Macaca fascicularis: one gene and its partners. The protein of the gene in region 1 interacts with the protein of each later gene in a biochemical or structural test. Links are inferred from orthologs where the notes say so. Each region holds a gene or a part of one and is shown on either strand. Other genes may lie near its edges.

The links.
Region 2: the proteins of RB1 (region 1) and MCM7 form a complex in vitro, tested with the Homo sapiens proteins (2 studies listed by BioGRID). The link is inferred for Macaca fascicularis from reciprocal best matches to the Homo sapiens genes RB1 and MCM7.
Region 3: the proteins of RB1 (region 1) and MYOD1 form a complex in vitro, tested with the Homo sapiens proteins (2 studies listed by BioGRID). The link is inferred for Macaca fascicularis from reciprocal best matches to the Homo sapiens genes RB1 and MYOD1.
Region 4: the proteins of RB1 (region 1) and JUN form a complex in vitro, tested with the Homo sapiens proteins (2 studies listed by BioGRID). The link is inferred for Macaca fascicularis from reciprocal best matches to the Homo sapiens genes RB1 and JUN.
Region 5: the proteins of RB1 (region 1) and CEBPB form a complex in vitro, tested with the Homo sapiens proteins (2 studies listed by BioGRID, with this or other methods). The link is inferred for Macaca fascicularis from reciprocal best matches to the Homo sapiens genes RB1 and CEBPB.
Region 6: the proteins of RB1 (region 1) and DNMT1 form a complex in vitro, tested with the Homo sapiens proteins (2 studies listed by BioGRID). The link is inferred for Macaca fascicularis from reciprocal best matches to the Homo sapiens genes RB1 and DNMT1.
Region 7: the proteins of RB1 (region 1) and UBTF form a complex in vitro, tested with the Homo sapiens proteins (2 studies listed by BioGRID). The link is inferred for Macaca fascicularis from reciprocal best matches to the Homo sapiens genes RB1 and UBTF.

Annotation. Positions count from the first base shown.
Region 1 is NC_088391.1:27,517,000-27,520,841, forward strand, and holds part of RB1 (retinoblastoma-associated protein), read left to right. Parts: intron 1-801; coding exon 802-998; intron 999-3,842. UniProt on the Homo sapiens protein: Tumor suppressor that is a key regulator of the G1/S transition of the cell cycle. The hypophosphorylated form binds transcription regulators of the E2F family, preventing transcription of E2F-responsive genes.
Region 2 is NC_088377.1:48,752,459-48,756,727, reverse strand, and holds the start of MCM7 (DNA replication licensing factor MCM7), read left to right. Parts: upstream 1-1,345; 5' UTR 1,346-1,442; coding exon 1,443-1,473; intron 1,474-1,973; exon of another isoform or gene 1,974-2,266; intron 2,267-2,654; coding exon 2,655-2,734; intron 2,735-2,995; coding exon 2,996-3,160; intron 3,161-3,215; coding exon of another isoform or gene 3,216-3,223; intron 3,224-3,349; coding exon 3,350-3,474; intron 3,475-3,549; coding exon 3,550-3,730; intron 3,731-4,043; coding exon 4,044-4,181; intron 4,182-4,269. Other genes in the region: AP4M1 (AP-4 complex subunit mu-1), read right to left, coding at 1-91, 749-858, 966-1,023. UniProt on the Homo sapiens protein: Acts as a component of the MCM2-7 complex (MCM complex) which is the replicative helicase essential for 'once per cell cycle' DNA replication initiation and elongation in eukaryotic cells.
Region 3 is NC_088388.1:48,060,364-48,064,706, reverse strand, and holds MYOD1 (myoblast determination protein 1), read left to right. Parts: upstream 1-1,475; 5' UTR 1,476-1,687; coding exon 1,688-2,317; intron 2,318-2,808; coding exon 2,809-2,887; intron 2,888-3,171; coding exon 3,172-3,422; 3' UTR 3,423-4,045; downstream 4,046-4,343. UniProt on the Homo sapiens protein: Acts as a transcriptional activator that promotes transcription of muscle-specific target genes and plays a role in muscle differentiation. Together with MYF5 and MYOG, co-occupies muscle-specific gene promoter core region during myogenesis.
Region 4 is NC_088375.1:175,918,030-175,922,502, forward strand, and holds JUN (transcription factor Jun), read left to right. Parts: upstream 1-1,394; 5' UTR 1,395-2,372; coding exon 2,373-3,377; 3' UTR 3,378-4,133; downstream 4,134-4,473. UniProt on the Homo sapiens protein: Transcription factor that recognizes and binds to the AP-1 consensus motif 5'-TGA[GC]TCA-3'.
Region 5 is NC_088384.1:106,282,927-106,286,942, forward strand, and holds CEBPB (CCAAT/enhancer-binding protein beta), read left to right. Parts: upstream 1-1,613; 5' UTR 1,614-1,814; coding exon 1,815-2,849; 3' UTR 2,850-3,454; downstream 3,455-4,016. UniProt on the Homo sapiens protein: Important transcription factor regulating the expression of genes involved in immune and inflammatory responses. Also plays a significant role in adipogenesis, as well as in the gluconeogenic pathway, liver regeneration, and hematopoiesis.
Region 6 is NC_088393.1:10,683,894-10,687,735, reverse strand, and holds part of DNMT1 (DNA (cytosine-5)-methyltransferase 1), read left to right. Parts: coding exon 1-118; intron 119-344; coding exon 345-486; intron 487-1,536; coding exon 1,537-1,703; intron 1,704-2,114; coding exon 2,115-2,292; intron 2,293-2,851; coding exon 2,852-3,056; intron 3,057-3,842. UniProt on the Homo sapiens protein: Methylates CpG residues. Preferentially methylates hemimethylated DNA. Associates with DNA replication sites in S phase maintaining the methylation pattern in the newly synthesized strand, that is essential for epigenetic inheritance.
Region 7 is NC_088390.1:65,273,034-65,276,875, reverse strand, and holds part of UBTF (nucleolar transcription factor 1), read left to right. Parts: intron 1-646; 5' UTR 647-713; coding exon 714-771; intron 772-2,215; coding exon 2,216-2,391; intron 2,392-2,993; coding exon 2,994-3,077; intron 3,078-3,181; coding exon 3,182-3,337; intron 3,338-3,842. UniProt on the Homo sapiens protein: Recognizes the ribosomal RNA gene promoter and activates transcription mediated by RNA polymerase I (Pol I) through cooperative interactions with the transcription factor SL1/TIF-IB complex.

The DNA of each region.
Region 1 (3,842 bases):
CACTAGGCTCCTCTTCTGAGTATACTGGTATACTGAATTTAGAAAAGGTACATTTTGAAATCCCTCCGAAGACCTGTGAGATTGTAGAGTGCCAAAGGAGTATTCAAGAGTAGCCTCTACTGATATGGAAGCACTGCTATAACCTCCATGGTTATGAAACTAAAGACTGAAGCTGGAACCCACTGGATAAACAGAACAAAGGCCAGTTACAGTGTTTTTAAAAATATAAATGTATATCACTTTGCAAATTATGTTGCAAATGTTAAAAGAAAGTTTTGCTTGCAGAAACAAAAGGAACATTTGTAAAGGATGCAAAACACAGTGAAAGAGGAACTTCTAGTTTCCTTATTAGTAAACAAATAAGGAAAACTGTGAATCCTCATTTATAACCAAGAAATGCATATTTTAAAGAGATACCATTTTCTGACTAATGAAATTAGCAGGATCTTGAAGAATCTGTCTCTCCTCTTACCAAGGATTAATGAGAATTAAAATAGATATGCTAATAAATGGCTGGTAAGATACTAAACCTGTTTCTGATATAAGTTTAGGGTATTTAAACCTTTGAAAATTTGAGATAAGCTATAAGCCCTTTCTCTAGGAAAAATATAGATGTGCATACACTCAAAATTGGAAGGCTATTTCCTATGAGTCCGTAGACTCCAAAATAAAAAATTCTGCTCTAAATAAAAATCGTTTAACCTTTCTACTGTTTTCTTTGTTTGATAAGACTTTCCAAAAAAATACCTAGCTCAAGGGTTAATATTTCATATCTAAGTTACTTTTTTTTTTCATTTTTAGGAAGTACATCTCAGAATCTTGATTCTGGAACAGATTTGTCTTTCCCATGGATTCTGAATGTGCTTAATTTGAAAGCCTTTGATTTTTACAAAGTGATTGAAAGTTTTATCAAAGCAGAAGGCAACTTGACAAGAGAAATGATAAAACACTTAGAACGATGTGAACATCGAATCATGGAATCCCTTGCATGGCTCTCAGTAAGTAACTAGCTACATAATTGAAGAAATTCATTCATGTGCATATGGCTAACAAATTATCTGTTAGTGAGAGGTGTTTCTTAACATCTACCTCAAGAACAAATAGGCAATAATGAATAATGTTATTTCAGTCTGTAGCCCAAGAATCAAGTAGAATATTAGAATGGAGCTTTATTCGAGCGCCCTAAACCATCTAATACAGCATAGTGATTTATTTAAGAATAGCTTTTCTTAAAACATGGCACTTTAAAACAAAACAGAATTCTTTTTTTTTATTATTATTATATTTTAAGTTCTAGGGTAAGTTCTAAGTTCTAGGGTGCAGGTTTGTTACATATGTATACCTGTGCCATGTTGGTGTGCTGCACCCATTAGCTCGTCATTTACGTTAGGTATATCTCTTAATGCTATCCCTCCCCCCTCCCCCCACCCCACCACAGGCCCCAGTGTATGATGTTCCCCTTCCTGTGTCCAAGTGTTCTTATTGTTCAATTCCCACCTATGAGTGAGAACATGCAGTGTTTGGTTTTCTGTCCTTGCGATAGTTTGCTCAGAATAATGGTTTCCAGCTTCATCCATGTCCCTACAAAGGGCATGAACTCATCCTTTTTTATGGCTGCATAGAATTCCATGGTATATATGTGCCACATTTTCTTAATCCAGTCTATCATTGATGGACATTTGGGTTGATTCCAAGTCTTTGCTATTGTGAATAGTGTGGCAATAAACATACATGTGCATGTATGTTTATAGCAGCACGATTTATAATCCTTTGGGTATATACCCAATGATGAGATGACTGGGCCAAATGGTATTTCTAGTTATAGATGTTTGAGGAATCGCCACACTGTCTTCCACAATGGTTGAACTAGTTTACAGTCCCACCAACAGTGTAAAAGTGTTCCTATTTCTCCACATCCTCTCCAGCACCTGTTGTTTCCTGACTTTTTAATGATCACCATTCTAACTGGTGTGAGATGGTATCTCACTGGTTTTGATTTGCATTTCTCTCATGGCTAGTGATGGTGAGCATTTTTTTTTCATGTGTCTGTTGGCTGCATAAATGTCTTCTTTTGAGAAGTGTCTGTTCATATCCTTCACCCACTTTTGGATGGGATTGTTTGATTTTTTTCTTGTAGATTTGTTTAAGTTCTTTGTAGATTCTAGTTATTAGCCCTTTGTCAGATGGGTAGATTGTAAAAATTTTCTCCCATTCTGTAGGTTGCCTGTTCACTCTGATGGTGGTTTCTTTTGCTGTGCAGAAGCTCTTTAGTTTAATTAAATCCCATTTGTCAATTTTGGCTTTTGTTGCCATTGCTTTTGGTGTTTTAGTTATGAAGTCCTTGCCCATGCCTATGTCCTGAATGGTATTGCCTAGGTTTTGTTCTAGGGTTTTTATGGTTTTAGGTCTAACATTTAAGTCTTTAATCCATCTTGAATTAATTTTCGTGTAAGGTGTAAGGAAGGGATCCAGTTTCAGCTTTCTACATATGGCTAGCCAGTTTTCCCAGCACCATTTATTAAATAGGGAATCCTTTCCCCATTTCTTGTTTCTGTCAGGTTTGTCAAAGATCAGATGGTTGTAGATGTGTGGTATTCTTTCTGAGGGCTCTGTTCTAAAACAGAACATAATTCTTTAAAGTATTTAGATAATTTATTTAAAATACAGTCGTCATTATGTTTGAAAATGTAAATGTCTGCTCTTAAATTGTGAGATTATGTTATTTAGATTATTAAAAAGTGCATTTTTTTCTTGTTGAATATAATAGGATTCATTTTTCCCATTATTAGAGTATAAAAATCTATACTATTGTTCAATTATAGGTATTGGTGTATTGGTTCAATCATTATAGGGGCACAAATTATATTGTCTAGGATTCTCTTTATAGCATTATAACTATTGATAAGGCTTTTGTTTTAATAAAATTGGCAACTTGAGTTTATGCTCTTCAAATCTGCATAGTTGGATAATACTTTGTGAATCATCAGATTTGTAGATTAATGGTTTCTTTTGAAACTGTGTTGCATGCTAAGTATATATCTTTTAATTTGTATCAGTATATAGAAATGGTAATTAAAAATTAAGACTTTAGGTATGCTATAATCCTAATTTGCACATGTAACCTTAGTTTTAATTTCTTTATGTTTTGAATTTTTAATGACTAAGCAATAGTTTATTTCTTAGTGTTTTCTTGTGTTGCCATATAGACAGTGAATAGAGGAGAGAAGCATGGGAAATTGATAGAAGAATGTTATACTCCTATTATTGAATTTGGTAACTACTTATGGAATGAACTTACACTTGATAAGGAGTACTTAGGAGAAAACTTTCTGAATCTGGGGAATTAAGTGAAAGTAAAAATAAATAAATAGATAAGTAAATAAAATAAGCACATAGAGTACTTTTTAAAGGCTATGTGTCCTCTCCTCCCAGAAATTGATATTGAGATATTACCATATCATCTGAAAGTGACTATTGTTATTTCTTTTAGAGAGTTAATTTTATTTCTATCAACACATATTTATTGAACATATGCCATATGCCTTGAATTGAGAGAGATATTGTGAGGCTACAAAAAACATAAAGGCTTGGAAAATTGTGTAGGAAGTAATAAAAATTTACTGTTTAAAAATTGCTTGTATGCAAGTCTGTCTAGCTCAATTATTTAGGGCTTCTAAACAATATTCCTTTATTTTTGAAAATTTTTGGAGAAGAAGTGACAAGTCCAAAGTTTGGAAAAGACTATAATTGATTTACAATAGGAGATGTGGAAGTCATAAGCCTCCGAATTTAAATATTAAATGTGGTTCTTTGGCAGATGAAACTATAGAAGACTTTTATTT
Region 2 (4,269 bases), on another chromosome or scaffold:
GGAGGCTGAAGGGAGAAACGTTTTCTGAAGTTGTTACCACCAAATACAGGCTGCTGTGTCTGATGTGAATGAAATGACGGCCATCGTGATACTGAAACACAGGCAGGGAGAAGAGGGGTTAGGAAAAGGGAGGTGGAGTAATCAGAACCCAGGAGACCTGAGCTGGGATCCCGATGCCTCTTACTAGTTTGGGAGATACATGACAGATCCCTGAGCCCAGCTTCCCATGTGGAAACGGGGTTAATTATAGTAACTACCCCAAGTTGCTGATAATGGAGTCACGCAGGGAGCTGGGCCTGGTGTGTTGCTGGCGCCCAATGGACGTTTTTTTTTTCCCCCACCCCCATTACCCCGAGACGGAGTCTCGCTCTGTCACCCAGGCTGGGTGCGGTGTCCGGATCTCGGCTCACTGCAACCTCTGCCTCTTCGGTTCAAGCGATTCTCCTGCCTCAGCTTCCCGAGTAGATGGGATTACAGGCGCCCGCCACCACGCCCAGCTAATTTTTTTTTCGTATTTTTAGTAGATGCGAAGTTTCAGCATGTTGGTCAGAATGGTTTCGAACTCCTGACCTCAGGTGATCCGCCCTCCTCGGCCTCCCAAAGTGCTGGGATTACAGGCGTGAGCCACCGCGCCGGGCCTCTTGTTAGTTTTACTTGGAGAAATACAACCCCCAAGTGGAAGCTACCATGGAACCAGTCCTGGGAGGGAGACGGCGCCCACCCGGCCCGCCCGGGCCCAGCTCCTCACCCGCCTCCCGCCAGTGGTTACCATGACAACCGGGGACTCGTCTCCTGGCAGTCCCGTCAGCTTCCGGTAGAAGAGCTCGGCCACATCCCGGCCGCCACTGTCCCCGCGGACTGGCGGGTGGAAGGACTCAGTGAAGGATCCTGCGACACGGGCTGGCCCTGGGCGCCCCTCCCGCCCGGTCCCTCCGCCCCTTCCCAGCCCCGAGGGTCTAGGATACAGTCTTTGTAGATGAGCGGGTCCCCCTTGGAGGACAGAATGAAGAACTGGGAAATCATGGCCGTCCTGGAGAGCAGACAAGAAGACGGCGAAAGTTGGGCCTGCCCCGCCCTGAGGCCCCGGAACAAAAGAACGCGCGTGCGCTGGCCCTTTAAGAGCGATTCTCCTCCGCCGCGCCAGCTTGGACCGCGGGAAACCCGGCGCCCGCCCCACCCCGCCCGGAGATTCCCTTCCGACTCCCGCACCGCCTCCCCGTCACTCATTCGAGGCCCGCCCGGCGATTGGCTTGCGGCTAGCGGGAGGGAGAAAGGGCCGGCTTTTCCGATTGGCCCGCACGCAGTGGCGCTGGTCACGTGGGGGGCGACGTTTCGCGCCAATTTCGGTTGGCCGGCCACAGTCCACCGCGCGGACGTTCTCAGCTTCCCCAGAAGCAAGACCTCTGAGCCCGCCAAGAGCTGCCGCACAGGCCTCGGCAGCGATGGCACTGAAGGACTACGCGCTAGAGAAAGGTACGGGTCTACAAGCCTGGGAGGGCGTCCTGCGCGGGGAGCCTCCCGGGGAACACCTGTTGATGTGAGCTGGGGTCTTCGAGGACCGGGGTCAGCGGGTTCTGGGGCGCGCGACGCCAGAGGCAGGGTCGGGTTGCGGCCTGGCTAAGGCCCACGGGACCTGGAAGGCGCGCGAGGGGCATCGACGTTGAAGAAAAGGTAGTAATCCCACTTGGGAAAGGTGTTATAGAGTTGGGGGGCTTGGGGGGCGCTACCCGGCTGAGGGCTGCACAGGGAAGAGTCGCGCCGAGGACCTCAGGAGACTCTAAGGGCTCTGGACCCCGGACCCGCTTCCCTCCGCGCTTTTGGATATTCCCAGGTTCCCGCCGCCTCCCCGAGGCGCGCGGAGGCCCCGGGGGCGGGCAAGCCGGGGCCGCTACGTGCCGGGATTGGCCGTTTGAGGCCGCCCTCCGAGCGGAAGTGGAGCCGGGCGGAAGTGGCGCGACGCGGGTGGAGGGAGTGTCGTGTAAACAGTGTCCTTCCGCGTGGCGGCCTCGGAGAGAGCTGCGACCCGGGGGGGCGTGCCTGGGATCCGGGAGCTTCGCTCGGGCCCGGGAAAGGCGGCAGTGGGCTGGGATCGCAGTGGCCCTGGGCGTGCTGGCCAATGGCTGAACTGGCTCCCGCCTCGGGCGGAGGAATCCCGGGCTGTGAAGCGGCTGGAATCCGGGCCCATGTGCTTCTTTGTTTACTAAGAGCGGAAGCGCTGGCGGGAGCGGTGGTGGGGTGCGGGACCTGCCTGGTGGCGGAGGTCTCGGTGAGATAAGGGGCTCGGGGGACCCAAAGAAGGCAGGGGATCATGGGGGTGGAAAGAAAGCTGAGAACCTTGAGGCCGGAGTGTGGGAGGCCAATGGGGAACGGCGCTAGGATTTTAAACTAAAGTAGGGACAGGAATTCCCCTGGGGAATAGATGTTGGATCGCCCTGTGCACTGCCCCGGGCTCTTTATTCTTCGCTGGTTAAAACAGACTGTGCAAAAGAGTTATGCCCACTTTGGGGAGAATTCGGTAGTTTATTTAAATGTTCATATTATTAGTTCATAGGCTGTGTTTTAAGCGAAAATAGGTATCTTAGATTTCTATCAGAGGGATGGGCAGTGATGTGTCTTAAAGTTTATGTTTTATGATTTTACATTTCACGTTACAGAAAAGGTTAAGAAGTTCTTACAAGAGTTCTACCAGGATGATGAACTTGGGAAGAAGCAGTTCAAGTATGGGAACCAGTTGGTAAGTATAAGATTGGGTAAAGGGAATGGGGAAGTGGGGTGCATAAGGAGCCATAAGAAGTAGCTTGGCTGGTTTTATTAAAGAGGTAATAATTAGAGGGTTTGGGGGCTGAGAAGCAAGTATCTCTCTAAGTGGTGCTGTGTTCCCCCCTGTGGATGCCCAGAGCCTGTGCTGAGTTCTCAGTAATGTATCTTCACATATGAACACTGGTGCACAAGGTGAATGTGGCTTTGAGGTGTTTCTGTCTCTTTCTCACCTGAGGTTCGGCTGGCTCATCGGGAACAAGTGGCTCTGTATGTGGACCTGGACGACGTAGCCGAGGATGACCCCGAGTTGGTGGACTCAATTTGTGAGAATGCCAGGCGCTACGCAAAGCTCTTTGCCGATTCCGTACAAGAGCTGCTGCCTCAGTACAAGGAGAGGGAAGTGAGTGGCTAGAGAACAATGGCAAACAAAGGGAAAGGCATTTAAGCTTCTGTAGAGAGGCTGGTCAGATACTGATGTTTTCTGAGCAGGCAGAAAGAAGGGGCATTTCAGTCTGGTGTTCTCTGCACTCTCCTTTCCCCATCCTGTTGCTCGTTTATTTATTTATTTGTTTATTTTGTCCTCCTTTAGGTGGTAAATAAAGATGTCCTGGACGTTTACATTGAGCATCGGCTGATGATGGAGCAGCGGAGTCGGGACCCTGGAACAGCCCGAAGCCCCCAGAACCAGTACCCTGCTGAACTCATGCGCAGATTGTGAGTGGTCTCTGTTTGGAAGTATGTAGGGATTGGTTCTCCAGGATCTTGTTTGTGACTGTTTTCTCCCCTTAGTGAGCTGTATTTTCAAGGCCCAAGTAGCAACAAGCCTCGTGTGATCCGGGAAGTGCGGGCTGACTCTGTGGGGAAATTGGTGACTGTGCGTGGAATTGTCACTCGTGTCTCTGAAGTCAAACCCAAGATGGTGGTGGCCACTTACACTTGTGACCAGTGTGGGGCAGAGACCTACCAGCCGGTACGTGTGGAGCAAGGAGCAGGAAAGCCCTTACCCATTAGTCGTTTTGTAGAGATTAATTTGATCCCGTGATGCCTATCATTTTCTTTGCTTGTAAAAGTTGCCTGTGTGTTTGCCTTTCATTGTTGGGTATGTAATGGTCTTTCTACCTATTTCTTGGGTGTTTGTTGTTGACCCAGAGTTAAGTTCAAAGGGTTCTTGACACTTCCAAGATGTCTGCCATGAAGAGAAAATGTGATTCAAGGAACCGACCGACCCAATGGGGCTCTTTTGCTTCTGACTTCCTTTTGCTGCTTCTGTTCTCACATCCTAGATCCAGTCTCCAACTTTCATGCCTCTGATCATGTGCCCAAGCCAGGAGTGCCAAACCAACCGCTCAGGAGGGCGGCTGTATCTGCAGACACGGGGCTCCAAATTCATCAAATTCCAGGAGATGAAGATGCAAGAACATGTGAGTTTGGGGTACGTGGCCCTGGGCAGGTGGATTGGGAGTCCACTTGAATCCTGTAGTCACTTGTGGAGTGGCAGGAAGAAAGAAG
Region 3 (4,343 bases), on another chromosome or scaffold:
AGTGCTGAGAGGACTGTGTGAACTGCATATTCAGGAAGAGGTTGAGAGGCCCCCATGGGGGTGGCCGGTATGCTGAGGCTTGTATGGGAGCCAGAGTTCCCACATTCCATGGGGTGGTTGCCTCCTCCTGTTTCCAGCCTTTCCAGTGAGGCTGCAGGAAAGAGACACAGCTGAGGCCTGGAGACTACGTGGGACTCTGTCAGGGCATGGTGCCATGGACGAGTTGTAAGCCTTGGGGAGGTAGCATCCAACTCTGAAAGCCCCTTGCTCGAATAACTCTACATCACTGCCTGAGGGCTTCCACATCCTTGGTCTCTTCAGACTCTCATCCCCACCACAATTACTCCAAGAAATTACTGTCATTCCCAAATCTATAACTGGAAACTGAGGCTAAGGAAGGAGACAGGACTTCCACAAAATCACACAGTGGGGACACTCTGAAGTCTGGATTCAACTGGTCTGCAAATCACACTCTCAGAGACTTCAGGTGAGATGAGGTGAGATTCTCAGGCCAGGTCCTGAAGTTTGCGACCTTGGCCAAATGCACTTTCCTTGACTCAGCACCGCGGGTGAGGCAGAGCCAAGAACGGAGGAGAAGGGTTTTCTTCCCAGCTGAAGAGGCAGCTCAGCCTAGACCCCAGGCATGGCACTGGACAACCCTGCTGTGGAAACGTGCAGATTTAGATGGACGGGATTCCTCACCTGGGCAGGATCCGAGTTTGGAGAGATTGGCGCGAAGCTTTAGCAGCAATCTCTGATTCCTGTACAACCATGGCGGGGTTTCTAAGCGTCTAGGGAAGAAGGACTGGGCCCACGACCTCCTGAGCAACTCCCAGGTCGGGGACTGGTGGAATATCACAGCCTCTACGACCCGTTTGTCTCGAGCTCTCCCACTTCAACTATCGGGGTTTCTCTGCCTGTTGTTGCACTCGTGCGTTTCTTTGCACCTGACACTCTAAGCTTTCTGCTTTCTGCGTGTCTCTCAACCTCTTTCGGTCCCTCTTTCACGGTCTCACTCTCTCAGCTCTATGCCCCCAATCCCTTGCCTCTCTCCAAATAACTCACGACCTGATTTCTACAGCTGCTCTACCCATGGGTTCCCCAAAAATCAGGGGCAGAGGAGTATTAAAAGTCAGCTCAGAGGTGAGCGCGCACAGCCAGCGTTTCCCGCGGACACAGCAGTCGGGTGTTGGAGAGGTTTGGAAAGGGCTTGCCGGAGAGCCAAGTGCAGCCGCCTAAGGCTACCAGTCGCTCCCTCCCTCCCTGCCCGGTAGGGAACCGAGAGCGCGCGCCAGTGTGGAGGGGCGGGCTGGCTGGCCACTCTGCGGGCCCCTGCGGCCACCCAGGGGACTCCCCAAGCCCCGCCCCGCTGTGTTCCTATTGGCCTCGGGCTCCCCCGCCCCTAGCTGCCCGCCTGGGCTCCGGGGCGTTTAGGCTACCACGGATAAATAGCCCAGGGCGCCTGGCGCGAAGCTAGGGGTGAGGAAGCCCTAGGGCGCTGCCGCCGTTTTCCTTAACCACAAATCGGGCGGGACAGGACAGGGAGGGGTGGGGGACAGTGGGTGGTCATTCACACTTCCAGCACTTTACTATCAACAGCCAGGGCTCCCGAGCGGCAGAAAATTCCGGCCACTCTCTGCCGCTTGGGTTGGGCGAAGCCAGGACGGTGCCGCGCCACCGCCAGGATATGGAGCTACTGTCGCCACCGCTCCGCGACGTAGACCTGACGGGCCCCGACGGCTCTCTCTGCTCCTTTGCCACAACGGACGACTTCTATGACGACCCGTGTTTCGACTCCCCGGACCTGCGCTTCTTCGAAGACCTGGACCCGCGCCTGATGCACGTGGGCGCGCTCCTGAAACCCGAAGAGCACTCGCACTTCCCCGCGGCGGTGCACCCGGCCCAGGGCGCGCGTGAGGACGAACATGTGCGCGCGCCCAGCGGGCACCACCAGGCGGGCCGCTGCCTACTGTGGGCCTGCAAGGCGTGCAAGCGCAAGACCACCAACGCCGACCGCCGCAAGGCCGCCACCATGCGCGAGCGGCGCCGCCTGAGCAAAGTAAATGAGGCCTTTGAGACGCTGAAGCGCTGCACGTCTAGCAACCCGAACCAGCGGTTGCCCAAGGTGGAGATCCTGCGCAACGCCATCCGCTATATCGAGGGCCTGCAGGCTTTGCTGCGCGACCAGGACGCCGCGCCCCCTGGCGCCGCCGCCGCCTTCTATGCGCCCGGCCCGCTGCCCCCAGGCCGCGGCGGCGAGCACTACAGTGGCGACTCCGACGCGTCCAGCCCGCGCTCCAACTGCTCCGACGGCATGGTAAGGCCGGGACCCCAGGAAGTGAGGAAGTTAGGGCGGCGCTCCGAATATCTGGGATGTGCTTCCAAGGGCGGGGAGCTGGCCTTGCGGGAGGTTTAGTACAGGATCCTTTCCAAGCGAGAGGACCCCCGTGTAATGGGCAGCTGTCACTGGGGTAGCCTAATTGTTTTGGAAGCGTGCGGGCATGCGTTCGAGCCACCCCGTTGGGGGCGCGATTAGAACACTGCAGCGCGGACATGAAGCTCTTTTTCTGTATTTTTTCCTACTTCCAAAATGTAAATTTGCGCCCCTTGGTGACTGTCCGCCCTTGGTTTGGCCCTGCATGTTGCAGACCTCATCTCCTACCCACCCGTAATCACCCCCAACCAGGACAGGTCTGGGCCCGGAACTCGAGGCTGGGGCTAGAGTTAGGGAGGGGGCGGCTACAGGGATTGGTGTTCGGGCCCCGCGCCGTCCCGCGGGCCTGACTCAGTCGCCCTTGCTGTTTGCAGATGGACTACAGCGGCCCCCCGAGCGGCGCCCGGCGGCGGAACTGCTACGAAGGCGCCTACTACAGCGAGGCGCCCAGCGGTAGGTATTCCGGGCTTCGCCCTGCTCGCTCCTCCTCCCCATGGCCTTCATGGAGCTGTCCTGGCCTCTCTCTATCTAGGACGCCCCCACCCCAACTCACATACGCCTATGTCCCGGGAGGTGGTGCAGGCGATGAAATACTAAGCAAGTAGCTCCTTCTCCTTTCGATTGTCCCGGACTCTGACAAGTCCTCAGTTTCCAATCTGTCTCAAAGTACTGGACCCAGGGGTGGGAGGCTTGTCGCGGCCGCACCCCTGCTTACTAACCGAGCCCTCACCGCGCAGAACCCAGGCCCGGGAAGAGTGCGGCGGTGTCGAGCCTAGACTGCCTGTCCAGCATCGTGGAGCGCATCTCCACCGAGAGCCCTGCGGCGCCCGCGCTCCTGCTGGCCGACGTGTCTCCGGAGTCGCCTCCGAGCGGGCAAGAGGCTGCCGCCCCCAGCGAGGAAGAGAGCGGCGACCCCACCCAGTCCCCGGACACCGCCCCGCAGTGCCCTGCGGGTGCGAACCCCAACCCGATCTACCAGGTGCTCTGAGGGGCGGGTGGCCGCCCACCCGCCCGAGGGATGGTGCCCCTAGGGTCCCTCGCACCCAAAAGATTGAACTTAAATGCCCCCTCCCAACAGCGCTTTAAAAGCGACCCCTCTTGAGGTGGGAGAGGCGGGAGAACTGAAGTTTCCGCCTTCTGCCACCCAGGGCAAGGACTCAGCGCGGTTTTTTCCACGCAGCACCCTTCCCGGAGATCCATTGTGATGGCCGCTCCGTGTTCCTCGGTGGGCCAGAGCTGAACCTTGAGGGGCCAAGTTCAGCTTTCTCGCGCCCTCCCCCATGGGGGTGAAACCCTCCCAGACCTAAGCCCTGCACCGGGATGCACCGGTAATTTGGGGGGCGTGAGGCCCAGGTGCACTCCTGTCCCAAATGTAGCAGGTGTAACCGTAACCCACTCCCAACCCGTTCCCCGGTTCAGGACCACTTTTTATAATACTTTTGTAATCTATTACTGTAAATAAGAGTTGCTTTGCCAGAGCAGGAGCCCCTGGGGCTGTATTTATCTCTGAGGCATGGTGTGTGGTGCTACAGGGAATTTGTACGTTTATACCGCAGGCGGGCGAGCCGCGGGCGCTCGCTCAGGTGTTCAAAATAAAGGCGCTAATTTATACTGCGGTGGCTCCAGCTTTCCCTGGGCATGGGAGTGGGATCCGGAGGAAAATCCGCAAACTGGGCCAGCTGTGCCTCAGCGACCCCTGTAGGCAGCAGGCGGATTGCAAGGAGGAAGCCTGCTGCCTGGGGAAGGAAGGAGGGGTGCAAATTTGTCCAATACGTGGGGAAGTTCCTCTGACCTTGACTACCTCACCACACACTTCCGTGGCTCTTATGGAAGGGTACACAGGTTGATATGAGTATTTTTTAAACCCATGTCTGAGCTCGCCTCCCAGAGATTCTGATTTAATGTTTCT
Region 4 (4,473 bases), on another chromosome or scaffold:
AGCCTGGCCACGAAAGAACAAGCATTCCCGACTTCGGGATTCTTTCCACCACACACTTTCGTCCCTAAGGGGTGGGGGGCGGGGGGAAGATAAAATAACAACCGCGGAAAAGGAACCACTTACATGTGTCTAGCGCTTCCTAGAGGCTACTCAGGATATGGGCCCACCACCCGGCCGGGAAGGTGGAGATTTGAAGTCCAGGTTCTACCCCGGGCTCCTGAGTTCTACTGCGTTACTTTATGCGAGTGTCCCCCGCCTTCTGAGCTTGTTTTCCCGGAAGCAACTCGGCGCGGGTGGAGAGTGTGTGCGTGTGTGTGTGTGTGTGTGCGCGCGCGCGCATGTTGTGCGTGTTGTGTTAAGCGTGTGTGTGTTGTCCGGGGGCGGGAAGGGGAGTAGACTAACACCGGGGTTCCCCGAGTTTCGGATCGCCTACACGCTTGTTCCCATCTGGACCCTGTTACCCACTAATTGCGCCCACTATAAAAACTGCCCCTCGGAGGCAAAGCTGTGATCCCCCGCGCCCTTTCCCCCACGGTCCCGGAGGATGAAGTGGGGTGCAACGGAGACTCAGCTGAGCGTCCAGTTTTGGGCAATACAAATCTCTCAGCTTCTAAGAGCAGCCAGACAACCCCGCGGACCATCGCTCCTGAACTTGACCGAGATGCAAACTTCGCAGCGTTTCTCAACGTGGGGGGCCGACTCTCGGGAGACCGCCCCCAAACTTAAGCCCCCTTAGGCTCGCCCCCAACTGGGACTTCACAGAGCCACCTTAAGGGCGGCGCTCCCGCCCCCCGGAAGTGCGGGGGGGCGGCGGACCTGGACTCTCAGCCTCCCGCCCCGCGCGGTGGCGGACGCCGGTGGATGACTTCGAGCCCCACAAGTGGGGAAACACAACCACCCCTCGCCCGCACCCTTGACCCAAAACAACTGGCCGGGTTCCCTGGCCTCCCGGGTCCCCGCATCCCCTGCATCCCAGTCCGCAGCCGTGAACTTGAGCCCCCTCCGTCAGATGTTGCGAGCGTCCGCCCGCTCGCGGCAGCCACCGTCACTAGACAGTCAAACCCCAAGACGTCAGCCCACAATGCACCGGGCGGGCCGGGAAAAACGGCCCGGGGAGGGGACCGGGGAAGAGAGGGCCGAGAGGCGTGCGGCAGGGGGGAGGGTAGGAGAAAGAAGGGCCCGACTGTAGGAGGGCAGCGGAGCATTACCTCATCCCGTGAGCCTCCGCGGGCCCAGAGAAGAATCTTCTAGGGTGGAGTCTCCATGGTGACGGGCGGGCCCGCCCCCCTGAGAGCGACGCGAGCCAATGGGAAGGCCTTGGGGTGACATCATGGGCTATTTTTAGGGGTTGACTGGTAGCAGATAAGTGTTGAGCTCGAGCTGGATAAGGGCTCAGAGTTGCACTGAGTGTGGCTGAAGCAGCGAGGCGGGAGTGGAGGTGCGCGGACTCAGGCAGGCAGACAGACACAACCAGCCAGCCAGGACGGCAGTATAGTCCGAACTGCAAATCTTATTTTCTTTTCCACCTTCTCTCCAACTGCCCAGAGCTAGCGCCTGTGGCTCCCGGGCTGGTGTTACGAGGAGTGCCCAGAGAGCCTGGTCTCCAGCCGCCCCCAGGAGGAGAGCCCTGCTGCCCAGGCGCTGTTGACAGCGGTGGCGAGCAGCGGTACCCACGCGCCCGCCGGGGGAAGTCGGCGAGCGACTGCAGCAGCAAAGAACTTTCTCGGCCCGGAGGGCCGGAGACAACTGGCCCAGAGTCCCGGAGCGAACTTTTGCAAGCCTTTCCTGCGTCTTAGGCTATTCGGCGGCGGTAAAGACCAGGAGGCGGCGGACAGCCACGCAAAAGAAGAAGGACGTGCGCTCAGCTTCGCTCGCACCGGTTGCTGAACTTGGGCGAGCGCGAGCCGCGGCTGCCGGGCGCCCCCTCCCCCTCGCAGCGGAGGAGGGGACAAGTCGTCGGAGTCTGGGCGGCCGAGACCCGCCGCTGGTCGGCCTCTGCGGGTCGGCACTGATCCGCGCCGCCGGGAGAGCCGCTGCTCTGGGAAGCGAGTTCGCCCGCGGACTCCAAGGAACGGCGGCGCCCGAAGAGCGCTCAGTGAGTGACCGCGACTTTTCAAAGCCGGGTAGCGCGCGCGCGAGTCGACAAGTAAGAGTGCGGGAGGCATCTTAATTAACCCTGCGCTCCCTGGAGCGAGCTGGTGAGGAGGGCGCAGCGGGGACGACAACCAGCGGGTGCGCGCGCTCTTAGAGAAACTTTCCCTGCCAAAGGCCCCGGGGGGCACGGGTGTCCCCCGCTTGCCAGAGCGCTGTTGCGGCCCCGAAACTTCAGCACGCAGCCCAAACTAACCTCACGTGAAGTGACGGACTGTTCTATGACTGCAAAGATGGAAACGACCTTCTATGATGATGCCCTCAACGCCTCGTTCCTCCCGTCCGAGAGCGGAGCTTATGGCTACAGTAACCCCAAGATCCTGAAACAGAGCATGACCCTGAACCTGGCCGACCCAGTGGGGAGCCTGAAGCCGCACCTCCGCGCCAAGAACTCGGACCTCCTCACCTCGCCCGACGTGGGGCTGCTCAAGCTGGCGTCGCCCGAGCTGGAGCGCCTGATAATCCAGTCCAGCAACGGGCACATCACCACCACGCCGACCCCCACCCAGTTCCTGTGCCCCAAGAACGTGACAGACGAGCAGGAGGGCTTCGCCGAGGGCTTCGTGCGCGCCCTGGCCGAACTGCACAGCCAGAACACGCTGCCCAGCGTCACGTCAGCGGCGCAGCCGGTCAGCGGGGCGGGCATGGTAGCTCCAGCGGTAGCCTCGGTGGCAGGGGGCAGCGGCAGCGGAGGCTTCAGCGCCAGCCTGCACAGCGAGCCGCCCGTCTACGCCAACCTCAGCAACTTCAACCCAGGCGCGCTGAGCAGCGGCGGCGGGGCGCCCTCCTACGGCGCGGCCGGCCTGGCCTTTCCCGCGCAACCCCAGCAGCAGCAGCCGCCGCCGCAGCCGCCGCACCACCTGCCCCAGCAGATGCCCGTGCAGCACCCGCGGCTGCAAGCCCTGAAGGAGGAGCCTCAGACAGTGCCCGAGATGCCTGGCGAGACGCCGCCCCTGTCCCCCATTGACATGGAGTCCCAGGAGCGGATCAAGGCGGAGAGGAAGCGTATGAGGAACCGCATTGCTGCCTCCAAGTGCCGAAAAAGGAAGCTGGAGAGAATCGCCCGGCTGGAGGAAAAAGTGAAAACCTTGAAAGCTCAGAACTCGGAGCTGGCGTCCACGGCCAACATGCTCAGGGAACAGGTGGCACAGCTTAAACAGAAAGTCATGAACCACGTTAACAGTGGGTGCCAACTCATGCTAACGCAGCAGTTGCAAACATTTTGAAGAGAGACTGTTGGGGGCTGAGGGGCAACGGAGAAAAAAAATAACACAGAGAGACAGACTTGAAAACTTGACAAGTTGCGACGGAGAGAAAAAAGAAGTGTCCGAGAACTAAAGCCAAGGGTATCCAAGTTGGACTGGGTTGCGTCCTGACGGCGCCCCCAGTGTGCACGAGTGGGAAGGACTTGGCGCGCCCTCCCTTGGCGTGGAGCCAGGGAGCGGCCGCCTGCGGGCTGCCCCGCTTTGCGGACGGGCTGTCCCCGCGCGGACGGAACGTTGGACTTTTCGTTAACATTGACCAAGAACTGCATGGACCTAACATTCGATCTCATTCAGTATTAAAGGGGGGAGGGGGAGGGGGTTACAAACTGCAATAGAGACTGTAGATTGCTTCTGTAGTACTCATTAAGAACACAAAGCGGGGGGGAGGGCTGGGGAGGGGCGGCAGGAGGGAGGTTTGTGAGAGCGAGGCTGAGCCTACAGATGAACTCTTTCTGGCCTGCCTTCGTTAACTGTGTATGTACATATATATATTTTTTAATTTGATGAAAGCTGATTACTGTCAATAAACAGCTTCATGCCTTTGTAAGTTATTTCTTGTTTGTTTGTTTGGGTGTCCTGCCCAGTGTTGTTTGTAAATAAGAGATTTGGAGCACTCTGAGTTTACCATTTGTAATAAAGTATATAATTTTTTTATGTTTTGTTTCTGAAAATTCCAGAAAGGATATTTAAGAAAATACAATAAACTATTGAAAAGTACTCCCCTAACCTCTTTTCTGCATCATCTATAGATACTAGCTATCTAGGTGGAGTTGAAAGAGTTAAGAATGTCAATTAAAATCACTCTCAGTGCTTCTTACTATCAAGCAGTAAAAACTGTTCTCTATTAGACTTTAGAAATAAATGTTCCTGATGTACCTGCTTCTATGGTCAGGTTATACTCTTCTTCCCCCAGCTATCTATATGGAATTGCTTACCAAAGGATAGTGCGATGTTTCAGGAGGCTGGAGGAAGGGGGGGAGTGTGTTGCAGTGGAGAGGGACAGCCCACTGGGAAGTCAAACATTTCAAAGTTTGGGATTGTATCAAGTGGCATGTGC
Region 5 (4,016 bases), on another chromosome or scaffold:
CCTTTGGGGGCAGAGGTCACCCCAGCTCAGCAGATAACACCAAAGGTTGAGCAATGTCTGCCTGCCCACTGAGGCCAGGGCTGGGGTCAGTGGGCCAGGGGTCAGCCCCGGGCAGGCTGAGAGCTCCTGCCGGGGCGGCCTGGGCTAGGAGTGGCAGAGAGGTGGGCCCAGGGAGCTGCCCCAATGGCCTAGGAATGGGTCCGGAAGGGCAAAGCAAAGGGCCCTCTAACCTGAGCCTAGGGAGCAGAGGCGGGCCGGTAGTTAGAGGGCCTTGGGTCTGTGTTCAAGTCCAGGCAGGCCGTTGTCACTTTCCCATCTGTGAAACGGCAGCAGCAAAAGCATCTTCCTGGTGGGGTGAAAAAGAACCTCGGGGTCCAGGCCCACCCTGAGCACAGGGCAGGGACTTGGTAAAAACTTCTCTTTCTCTTTCCTTCTCTGTTTCCTGCATGCCACCCCCCTCCCGTGAGGCCTGGCTTAAGCCCCTCCCCAGCAGCTTCAGAAACAGAAGCTTTTTGGCCTCTGGGGCTGGCAATAGGTCTTAGGGCCCAGATGAGGGCATTTCGTTTGGGATGAATGGGGGACATGCGGCCATGTGACCTTGGTATGCCATGCCATGCTCCCTCTGGGCCTCCACTGGCACAATCCATGGGGGTCCCTTTCTCTCTGATGTGCAGCCCACAACGTAAGCCTTAGGTTTGGGAGTCTGGTGGGAGCAATGCCACCACCGCTGACAGTAGCGACACCCTTCATGGACTGCAGCTGGGAGAAGTGACTCATCCAAGGTCACACAGTGTGGCAGGGCCCAGCACCCCTCCGCCCCTGCACCATCCCAGGGCCCAGGTCGGATGGCGCGGCGCGGGGCAAGAGAAGACCCGGGTGTGTACAAGCCGCAAGCAGGCGGCAGGTGCGGTGGGCGGGGCTAGGGGCGGGACACCGTGGACCAGGGTCCAGCCCCCAGCGCAGCGCGATCCTGCTCCGTCCCCCCGACCCCCGGGGTCCTCATATTGGCGGTGGCTTAAGAGGGGAATCGTCACAGGCGTGGAGTCTACTCCTTTCTAGAGCCGGGGACCTGGGGAAGAGGTGGGAGTTTAGGGGGAAGGGCTACGGAGATGGGTCGCTTCTCCTGGAGCTAGAGTTGCGGGCTGGGGTCTCCAGGGTTCCGCCCGGGGAGCGGCCCCTGGTCCGCCGTCGGGGCTCTGCTCGGTCCTCCTGAAACCTCCGCCTCCTCCAGCAGGGGGCGGGCCGGGGCCGCATCTCCGGGGGAAGGCGATCAGGTCGCCCCCTCCTCCGATTCCCCCGCCTTCCAGGACAGCCTCCAGCCCAGAGGGGCGGTCTGGGGGCGGGGTCGCACCGCCCCCTCTCGCTCCCAATCCCGGGGCGGCCGGGCGGGGGTGGGCAGGGGGCGTGAGGTCGCCCCCTGCGGCCCGGGGACCCCCCCCGAAAACGCGCTCCGGGTGCCCGGTCCTCCGCTGCGCCCTGCCGCCGTCCTCCTGGGGGTCTCGGGCGGCCGCGGCCGTGTCCTTCGCGTCCCGGCGGCGCGGCGGGAGGGGCCGGTGTGACGCAGCGGTTGCTACGGGCCGCCCTTATAAATAACCGGGCTCAGGAGAAACTTTAGCGAGTCAGAGCCGCGCACGGGACTGGGAAGGGGACCCACCCGAGGGTTCAGCCACCAGCCCCCGCACTAATAGCGGCCACCCCGGCAGCGGCGGCAGCAGCAGCGACGCAGCGGCGACAGCTCAGAGCAGGGAGGCCGCGCCACCTGCGGGCCGGCCGGAGCGGGCAGCCCCAGGCCCCCTCCCCGGGCACCCGCGTTCATGCAACGCCTGGTGGCCTGGGACCCAGCATGTCTCCCCCTGCCGCCGCCGCCTGCCTTTAAATCCATGGAAGTGGCCAACTTCTACTACGAGGCGGACTGCTTGGCTGCTGCGTACGGCGGCAAGGCGGCCCCCGCGGCGCCCCCCGCGGCCAGACCCGGGCCGCGCCCCCCAGCCGGCGAGCTGGGCAGCATCGGCGACCACGAGCGCGCCATCGACTTCAGCCCGTACCTGGAGCCGCTGGGCGCGCCGCAGGCCCCGGCGCCCGCCACGGCCACGGACACCTTCGAGGCGGCTCCGCCCGCGCCCGCCCCCGCGCCCGCCTCCTCCGGGCAGCACCACGACTTCCTCTCCGACCTCTTCTCCGACGACTACGGGGGCAAGAACTGCAAGAAGCCGGCCGAGTACGGCTACGTGAGCCTGGGGCGCCTGGGGGCCGCCAAGGGCGCGCTGCACCCCGGCTGCTTCGCGCCCCTGCACCCGCCACCCCCGCCGCCGCCGCCGCCCGCCGAGCTCAAGGCGGAGCCGGGCTTCGAGCCCGCGGACTGCAAGCGGAAGGAGGAGGCCGGGGCGCCGGGCGGCGGCGCAGGCATGGCGGCGGGCTTCCCGTACGCGCTGCGCGCTTACCTCGGCTACCAGGCGGTGCCGAGCGGCAGCAGCGGGAGCCTCTCCACGTCCTCGTCGTCCAGCCCGCCCGGCACGCCGAGCCCCGCCGACGCCAAGGCGCCCCCGGCCGCCTGCTACGCGGGGGCCGCGCCGCCGCCCTCGCAGGTCAAGAGCAAGGCCAAGAAGACAGTGGACAAGCACAGCGACGAGTACAAGATCCGGCGCGAGCGCAACAACATCGCCGTGCGCAAGAGCCGCGACAAGGCCAAGATGCGCAACCTGGAGACGCAGCACAAGGTCCTGGAGCTCACGGCCGAGAACGAGCGGCTGCAGAAGAAGGTGGAGCAGCTGTCGCGCGAGCTCAGCACCCTGCGGAACTTGTTCAAGCAGCTGCCCGAGCCCCTGCTCGCCTCCTCCGGCCACTGCTAGCGCGGCCCCCGCGCGCGTCCCCCTGCCGGCCGGGGCCGAGACTCCGGGAAGCGCCCGCGCCCGCGCCCCCGCCTCCGCCCCCGGCGGCGCCGGCAAAACTTTGGCACTGGGGCACTTGGCAGCGCGGGGAGCCCGTCGGTAATTTTAATATTTTATTATATATATATATCTATATTTTTGTCCAAACCAACCGCACATGCAGATGGGGCGCCCGCCCGTGGTGTTATTTAAAGAAGAAACGTCTATGTGTACAGATGAATGATAAACTCTCTGCCTCTCCCTCTGCCCCTCTCCAGGCGCCGGCGGGCGGGCCGGTTTCGAAGTTGATGCAATCGGTTTAAACATGGCTGAACGCGTGTGTACACGGGACTGACGCAACCCACGTGTAACTGTCAGCCGGGCCCTGAGTAATCGCTTAAAGATGTTCCTACGGGCTTGTTGCTGTTGATGTTTTGTTTTGTTTTGTTTTTTGGTCTTTTTTTTTGTATTATAAAAAATAATCTATTTCTATGAGAAAAGAGGCGTCTGTATATTTTGGGAATCTTCCGTTTCAAGCATTAAGTAAGAACACTTTTAATAAACTTTTTTTTGAGAATGGTTACAAAGCCTTTTGGGGGCAGTAATTGGCTTTTGTTTTTTTTTTGCTTTATTTTGGATTTGTAGGATTTTGTTTTTGCGTTTCTGGTGTGTAGTGGGTTGTGTGTGGGGGGCTGCTGTTATTTTTGGAGGTTTTGGTGGTTGGTGGGGGTGTTGCAGCTGGTTTTTCTGCCTCCTCTGCTACACCCTCCCCCCACCCACAGGGTCTGCTTGGAGATGGGGTTCCAGCCCTGGGGGAAAGGGGAGAAGAGTAATGGGTCAGGCTTTCGGGCTAACTCAGAGCTCCTGGGCGCCGGGACCGGTGGCTGGGAACCCTGCTTGAGAAGAGATTCCGGGACCTCTGACTGGTCCCGAGTGTCAGGCTTGGGTTTGGAAGGGCTGGGAGGTCTGTGACCCCTGCCCTGTGTTTGGGGACTAGATAGGCAGGCCTGTGACTGTAGGAGGAGGGGTTCAGGTCTTGGTCCTGCTGAGCCCGAGTCAGGGCAGATGCTTTTAGTAAGTGTAGTTGGGTGGGTTGTTTAAAACACAGTTTGTGTATACATGTGCATTTTAAAGAGGGGATCCTGGGTG
Region 6 (3,842 bases), on another chromosome or scaffold:
AGGGAGACGTGGAGATGCTGTGCGGTGGGCCGCCCTGCCAGGGCTTCAGTGGCATGAACCGCTTCAACTCACGCACCTACTCCAAGTTCAAAAACTCGCTGGTGGTCTCCTTCCTCAGGTAAACAGGTAGAAGCCCCCCCGTGTTGACAGATGGCCTGGGGCTGTGCCGCGTGTCAGCAGTGGTCATTCACCCTGCACTGAGGCTTCTGCCCGCTGGAAACTCACAGCTCAGCTTTCAGTAGGGAGAGACTTTGATAACATTCACGAGGGGCTTCCGGCACAGTGGGTCGTTTCTCCCCTCTGTCTGTGGAGGTGACTCCTGCAGTCTCTCCTGCCCCCTACAGCTACTGCGACTACTACCGGCCCCGGTTCTTCCTCCTGGAGAATGTCAGGAACTTTGTCTCCTTCAAGCGTTCCATGGTCCTGAAGCTCACCCTCCGCTGCCTGGTCCGCATGGGCTATCAGTGCACCTTCGGCGTGCTGCAGGTGGGCCCCGGGGCCGGGGCGGGCAGATGGATGTGGCCAGCACATGACCCGGCCAGCAGCCAACCGTCCCTTACTGAAAGCAGGGTTCAATGGCACAGGCCTGCCATTCAGGCGGCAGAGGCTGGCATGGTGCTCTGTCCCACTGGTGGGGTCAGGGGAGATGCATGCTCAGCCAGCCCCCAGCAAGTCCACCTCTAGCGTCTCTTGAGCTGTGTTCTCGAACATGCCCGGGAGGGCTGGCTACCAGGGGCTTCTCACCAGGTAGCTCCCGGTTCCTTTCCCTCGATGGAGAAGGGTGAGCAGCCCACCACGGAGCGGTTAAGTCTGCATGAGGGGAAGTGAGGTGTGCAGAGACATGTGTAGGCAGCTGCTGTTCGATCGGTTTAAAAGACAGTTTTGCTCTGGGTAACTGCGCATACAAACCCCCACAGATGGCCGAGGGTTGCACTCCAGGTGGCTGTGTCTGCAGGGACAGGGATGGACATGGTCTGTGGGGCCCAGGCCTTATCTGAAAAGCATCCCCCCCATCCTCTATCAGCTCAGCGATTGAGGGTATAACTAAAAATGAAGCAGCTATTCAGATGCTAGCACAGGATGTCTGCCTAAGTGGGCAAGCACTTGGCTACCCGGTCCCCTAGTTCAGCCTCAGGGTGACTCAGGCTCAGCAGGCAAGACTTGTCACAGCCACGTTCTCTGTCCTTGTAACCACAGCCATTAGGGAAGTGGCAGGGCTCCTGGTCTCCAGTGTTGTTCTTCCTGAGTGCTAAGACCTCGGGGCCCTTGCAGTGCTTTCAGAGCTGGCTGGACTTGCCCACAAGGTTCGCTCCCACCTTCCCCAGTGGTTGTCCCCTGCGCTCAGCTGCTTTTGTTCTTTATCTGCTCCAACCTCCTCTGACCAGGAGCGTGCCTGCTGGGGTAACTGGGGATTCTGCAAGTGCACTCTGCATCGGCCAGCTGCTCCCAAGTCAGGCTGCTGACCCCAGGCCTGGGTCTGGCCTGTCCAGTTGGGAGTGTCCCACTGATGGGGGTGTCTGTCCTTCTCCCCCACAGGCCGGTCAGTACGGCGTGGCCCAGACGCGGAGGCGGGCCATCATCCTGGCCGCAGCCCCTGGAGAGAAACTTCCCCTGTTCCCGGAGCCGCTGCACGTGTTTGCACCCCGGGCCTGCCAGCTGAGTGTGGTGGTGGACGACAAGAAGTTCGTGAGCAACATAACCAGGTAGGTGGCCCCGGTCACTCCTCCACACACTGCCGAGCGGGCCTCAGTAGCTCCTAGGGCCCGTGAGTGCTCCCTGGTGAGATTTAGGGAGGAGAGGATGGTACGGCATCCAGCCTGCAACACGGCGCTCTGTCACCCCCCTTCTCCAATTCTGACCCCGCGTCATCTGCTTCCCTAGTAGATAGCGCATGTAGAGCGGCTGGCCGCATGCTTGGCTGTGGTCATCCACAAAGTCCATGCCATAACCCCGTCCCCTCTTCCAGATGGCATCCAGGCACACTGCCACTCATGTGACCTCAGGCAGTGTGCTGTGACCTCTGGAGAAGGCCATGTGAGCAGGCAGGGGGCAGCACCTGTGACGAGGGGACAGCTGCTGCGTGCATGCCCAGAGGTGTCCACCTCCTGTTGCAGGTTGAGCTCAGGTCCTTTCCGGACCATCACGGTGCGAGACACAATGTCCGACCTGCCAGAGGTGCGGAATGGAGCTTCAGCACTGGAGATCTCCTACAATGGGGAGCCTCAGTCCTGGTTCCAGAGGCAGCTCCGGGGCGCACAGTACCAGCCCATCCTCAGGGACCACATCTGTAAGGTAACGGCACCCTGACAGAGCAGCTCCCCCTGGAGGCCCAGCCTAGCAGCCTCATGGGAACAGTCAGAGCCTGCCCAAGGCTCAGGGGGGACATGGAATCTGATCCCAGGCTCCTCTTCCTGAGTCCTCAGCCCTTGCGTGACCCCTGGTCTCTCTCCCATGGTCATGGGAAGTGTCAGAGCTCCCGCACTCCTGGACTCAGACTCGGTCTGGAATGGTGTCAAGCCACTGCCCACCCACCACTGCCTTCCCCCTCGCTGCCTCTTCCTGCATATTTTCCCAGGATGCCAAGACCAGCCCTTTCACCATCCCCTGGCACCACTCCCCTTCCCCCACCCTAAAGACTCAGCTTAGATTCCCACGCTGTCCCGCCCCTGCGCTGCCTCAGGTCTCTGCTATGGCCTTGAGCCAAGTACAACATCCCCGACTGTCTCTTTCCCAATGGGCGTGAGCCCCAGGGGGCTTCCTGGTCACCATGGTGTTCCCAGCACCCAGCCCACCATGGATGCTCGGATGCTGCTTACACGAGGTGACAGCTGGGTCCCCCACACTCTTTCAGGACATGAGTGCATTGGTGGCCGCCCGCATGCGGCACATCCCCTTGGCCCCCGGCTCAGACTGGCGCGATCTGCCGAACATCGAGGTGCGGCTCTCGGACGGCACCATGGCCAGGAAGCTGCGGTATACCCACCATGACAGGAAGAACGGCCGCAGCAGCTCTGGGGCCCTCCGTGGGGTCTGCTCCTGCGTGGAAGGTGGGGCCTGTAGGTCGTGGTTCCCGATGGGCTGAGGGGAAGGAAGGCAGAGCCCTGGGGCTTTGACCTGTGAACCTGGAGGCCAGGGCAGGGCACAGACACACCAAACCTGGGTGTCCCAGAGAAGGTAGCTGCTGACCATGTTAAGTAGTAAAAGCAGACTGGGTTGGTGGCCACACCTGTAATCCCAGCACTTTGGGAAGCACTTTAAGGCGGGAGGATCACTTGAGCCTGGGAGGTTGAGGCTGTAGAGAGCTGTGATTGTGCCATTGCACTCCAGCCTGGGAGACAGAGTGAGACCTTGTCTCTAAAATGAATGAATGAATGAATGAATGGATAGATAGATAAAATGATAAAATAAATAAAACAGGTCAGGCACAGTGGCTCAACCTCTGTAATCCCAGCACTTTGGGAGGCTGAGGCAGGCAGATCACTTGAGGTCAGGAGCTCGAGATCAGCCTGGCCAACATGGTGAAACCCCATCTTTACTAAAATTATACAAATTAGCTGGGCGTGGTATCACACGCCTGTAATCCCAGCTATTTGGGAGGCTGAGGCAGGAGAATCGCTTGAACTCCATAGGCAGAGGTGGCAGTGAGCCAAGATCATGCCATTGCACTCCAGCCTGGGCAACAGAGCCAGACTCTGTCTCAAAAAAATATATAGTAATAATAACAAACACAGTCCCCAGAGAATGAGGATTGTTGGCTGTTCCACCCCAGGGGTCCCCTTGCACAGGAGGTGCCATCTCTGCCTCCCAAAGCTCTAAGAGCCACTGTCCCCTGTCCCAAGCCT
Region 7 (3,842 bases), on another chromosome or scaffold:
GGGCGGGGGGCAGGCTAGGCCGCTTCTCTCCGGCTGCTCGCCCGCCTGTGCGGGCGGGGACGGCGAAGGGAGCCCGGGAGGGGGGAGCGGCGGGAATCCGGATCCGGTCCCCGGGGGCGGTGCGGCCGCTGCGCTCCGGGGCTGGCGGCGGCTGCGCTGCGTCCGGGTCCCCGCCGGGTTGCGGAGGCGGGGGGAACCGGCTGGGGGGAGGCGGGAGGAGGAGACTGGGGCGCGTGCCCGCTTCCGTGGCCGCGCGCGCCCTTTACCCGCCCTTCCTCTTCCCCCGCCCTCCAGCCTGGGGCCTCCCCGGGGCGGGCGCTCAGAGGAGGAGGAGATTTTTTTTTTTTGGCTGGGGTTGGGGAAGGGGGGCGGAGAGCGGGCGCTCGCTGCACGCGGGAGCTGGGAGCAGGCCCTCGCGTGGGCAGGGGAGGGCGCGCGCCGCGGAGCCGGGCCGCAGGGGCTGGGGGAGGGGGGTCAGGAAGAAGAGGAGGGGCGTACTCTCCCTCCCAGAGACCCCTTAAGTCTGATAAGGTTATGGCTGGGTCTCTGAGAGCGTGGACCTGCCCACCTTTACTCTGGGCGGGGAGGGTTAGAAAGTCGTTCACCTCTCAGCCTTCCTGAGTGGGAACTTGTATGTCTTCCAAAGGGTGAGGTGGCTTTGACCCCGGGTTGCCCGGCCAGCACGACCGAGGAGGTGGCTGGACAGCTGGAGGATGAACGGAGAAGCCGACTGCCCCACAGACCTGGAAATGGCCGCCCCCAAAGGCCAAGGTAGGGGCATCCACTCCCAGCCCTCTGAAACTTAAACCCTCTTTGCCTCGTGGCTGTGGGGCACACTGCCTTCTTCAAGGGCTTTTCCAGTCTGCATACACTGAATTGGGGGAGAAAGTGCCTTGAGTACTTATGAATCAAGCATCTCCCACACTTGATTGGTTTGGCTGAATCCAAATTTTTTGGCCTGGAGTGGCTTACCTCCCCTCTCTCCCTGTCCCTCACACCCTATGTTAGAGGAGGCCTGCCTTCTGGGGTTTGCATTCAGCCTTAAGTGTGTCCCAGCCCAGTGTCCTGGAATGGGAGGAATGATGACTGTAGAGGGAAGGCTTCTCAGGCTTTTTAGGAAGACCATGAGGCTTTTGTAGAGGCAGGTGGAGAAGAGGGCTGTTGTGGTGGTTTGAGGCCCCAAGCCATGGGATATATGTACTCAACTAGATCTCTGCCTCATTCAGCAGTGATCCAGTTTGGATGGGGGTGGAGGGTAGGATGGAGCTGGGCAGCTGGCCATGCTTGTGGGACATTGAGGGGAGAGGGGATTATGGGTCCTTGTGGCCCATTCTGCAGAATCCCTGGCCTAGGTTACGAGATGCAAATGAAAATGGAGAGCCCTTTTGACTTCTGGCCTTGGGTGACTATTCTCCCAGCCCATCCACAGAGGCCTAGAGCTCTCTGGGGCTGCATTTCAGTGGCTGAAAATAACTGGTCCAGACCTGGTCTTGCTTCCCTGGGGAGTTGGGCTGACAAGACAGCTTGTAATTCTGGGGGTTCTCCCTGGATCAGGGCCCTGAGAGCTTTTGTGCACCTGCCTACTTTGCCTCAGAGTTGCCCTGTATCCTGCTTCTGTTTCTGTTTCTTTTTTCTTATTTGCCAGAAATTCTCCCTTGATCTGCCTTGAGGGGCCAGGGGATAGTGGGTATCTCTAACATCAGTCTCCAGCTGTGCAGGAGAAACATGTGCATGAATTTTCCCTACTGCCCACACCCCATCCTCAGTCCTTGCACATTTAGAATATCCACTCAGAACTTGAACTTGGCAGCACATTTAGATACAATGCCTCCTTGCTTCCCTCCTCTGACAAGCTATCTCATTTCCCACAAAGTCCTGAATCACTGTACCTTCATTTCCACCCCTCTTCCCCTTATAGCAAATAGCTGCCTGTTGCAGCTTGGCACAGTAGAAATGATAATAGCTTTGAAGCAAGCCAGACTTGAGTTTGAGCCTGGCTTTCTAGGTATAGCATGGTCTGGACTGGAGTCCCTGCCCTCATCCAGTATGGCCACAGTTTCCTTAGGGCTGAGCCATATCTTGTCTCTGCCTTCAGATGGGAAGCAATCAGGGGCTGGGATGCCCTAGGGAGGAAGAGTTGAGCACTCAAGAACTGGGGAACAGATTTGGGGGATAGCATGAGCCAGGCATGATGGCCTCTGTTACCCTTCACCAGACCGTTGGTCCCAGGAAGACATGCTGACTTTGCTGGAATGCATGAAGAACAACCTTCCATCCAATGACAGCTCCAAATTCAAAACCACCGAATCACATATGGACTGGGAAAAAGTTGCATTTAAGGACTTTTCTGGAGACATGTGCAAGCTCAAATGGGTGGAGATTTCTAACGAGGTAACTGATCCCCCCTTTCTGACACACGCACATACATATACAAACATTACCCCCTCCTCAGCCGTGGTAGGGGAAGTGAAACAGGCTGTAAACAGGAAGGAAAGACACCAGGAGAGGCGTTCATGTGGTCGCACGTTAGCTCTCTACCTGCCCCTTTGCATTTTGGGAGGTGGCACGGTTGACAGCACTGGCTTAAAGTTATGCCACTTTCTATCTGGGTGGTCTTGAGCCGAACAGCCTGAGCTGTGCTGAGATTGACAGAGGTGCTAACATGCTGAGATTGAAGGAGGTGCTGGCATGGACAACCAGGTTGAGGTCAGGTAGTCCCTTTGTTGCTGGCCTTTGGTGTGTACTGACTGCCTGGGCCTCTGTGGTAGGCATGGGCCAGTGCCTGGGTGTCAGGGTGCCTGCTTCATTTGGCTGTTGGCCTCTGCTCTTCTTTGGTAAATTTAGTCTGCTTCATTTGGCTGTTGGCCTCTGCTCTTCTTTGGTAAATTTAGTCTAGTAAAGAGTAGAAGAGACCCATTATAAGATGGGGGTATGCTACTGTGTGGCATTTTCCTTTTCCCAACTTCCCCTTCCTCCCGCCCCTCTTCTTCCAGGTGAGGAAGTTCCGTACATTGACAGAATTGATCCTCGATGCTCAGGAACATGTTAAAAATCCTTACAAAGGCAAAAAACTGAAGGTGAGTTACTAGAAGGAGGAGCATGAGGGGTAGGGGAGGAAAGATCCAAAGAACGGATGGTATTTGACCTCCATTGTGTCCTTGTTCCTTGTCCCTTCTTCCAGAAACACCCAGACTTCCCAAAGAAGCCCCTGACCCCTTATTTCCGCTTCTTCATGGAGAAGCGGGCCAAGTATGCGAAACTCCACCCTGAGATGAGCAACCTGGACCTAACCAAGATTCTGTCCAAGAAATACAAGGAGCTTCCGGAGAAGAAGAAGGTGGGGGGAGGAGAGTTAAGGTGGGAGGAGGGGAGAGGCTGGGAGCAGCTGGTGTGGTGTGGGTCGGTTGGAGGTAGGCCTTGGAGAGACCTGGCATCAGGGACGAGGGTGAGTCAGCACAGCAGAGTAGGTCCTGGGCAGGCACACCTGATCGCCCCTTCCTCGGCCCACACATGTTCAGGCACAGGCACCACCACAGATGCTCAGACAGCAGATGCTCAGACCAACCTTTCCCCCTACAGAAAACCCACAGCATTCTGTTTCATCAGGCTCTCTCCCCCATACACCCATCCTCACTGTTAGGCTGCGCAGCACTTCTTCACTCTCTATGACGTTTCCCGTCATGGTCTCATCTGATACTTGCGATGTCTTCATGAAGGTAACCCCAGGAAAAGGTTATCCCAGTTTTGTGGGCAAGGAACTGAGGTGCAGGAGGGTTAAGTGTCCTAGGTGACACAACTATTGATACTAGAGCAGGATTTAGTGCCCCAGAGTCCCAGTCCAG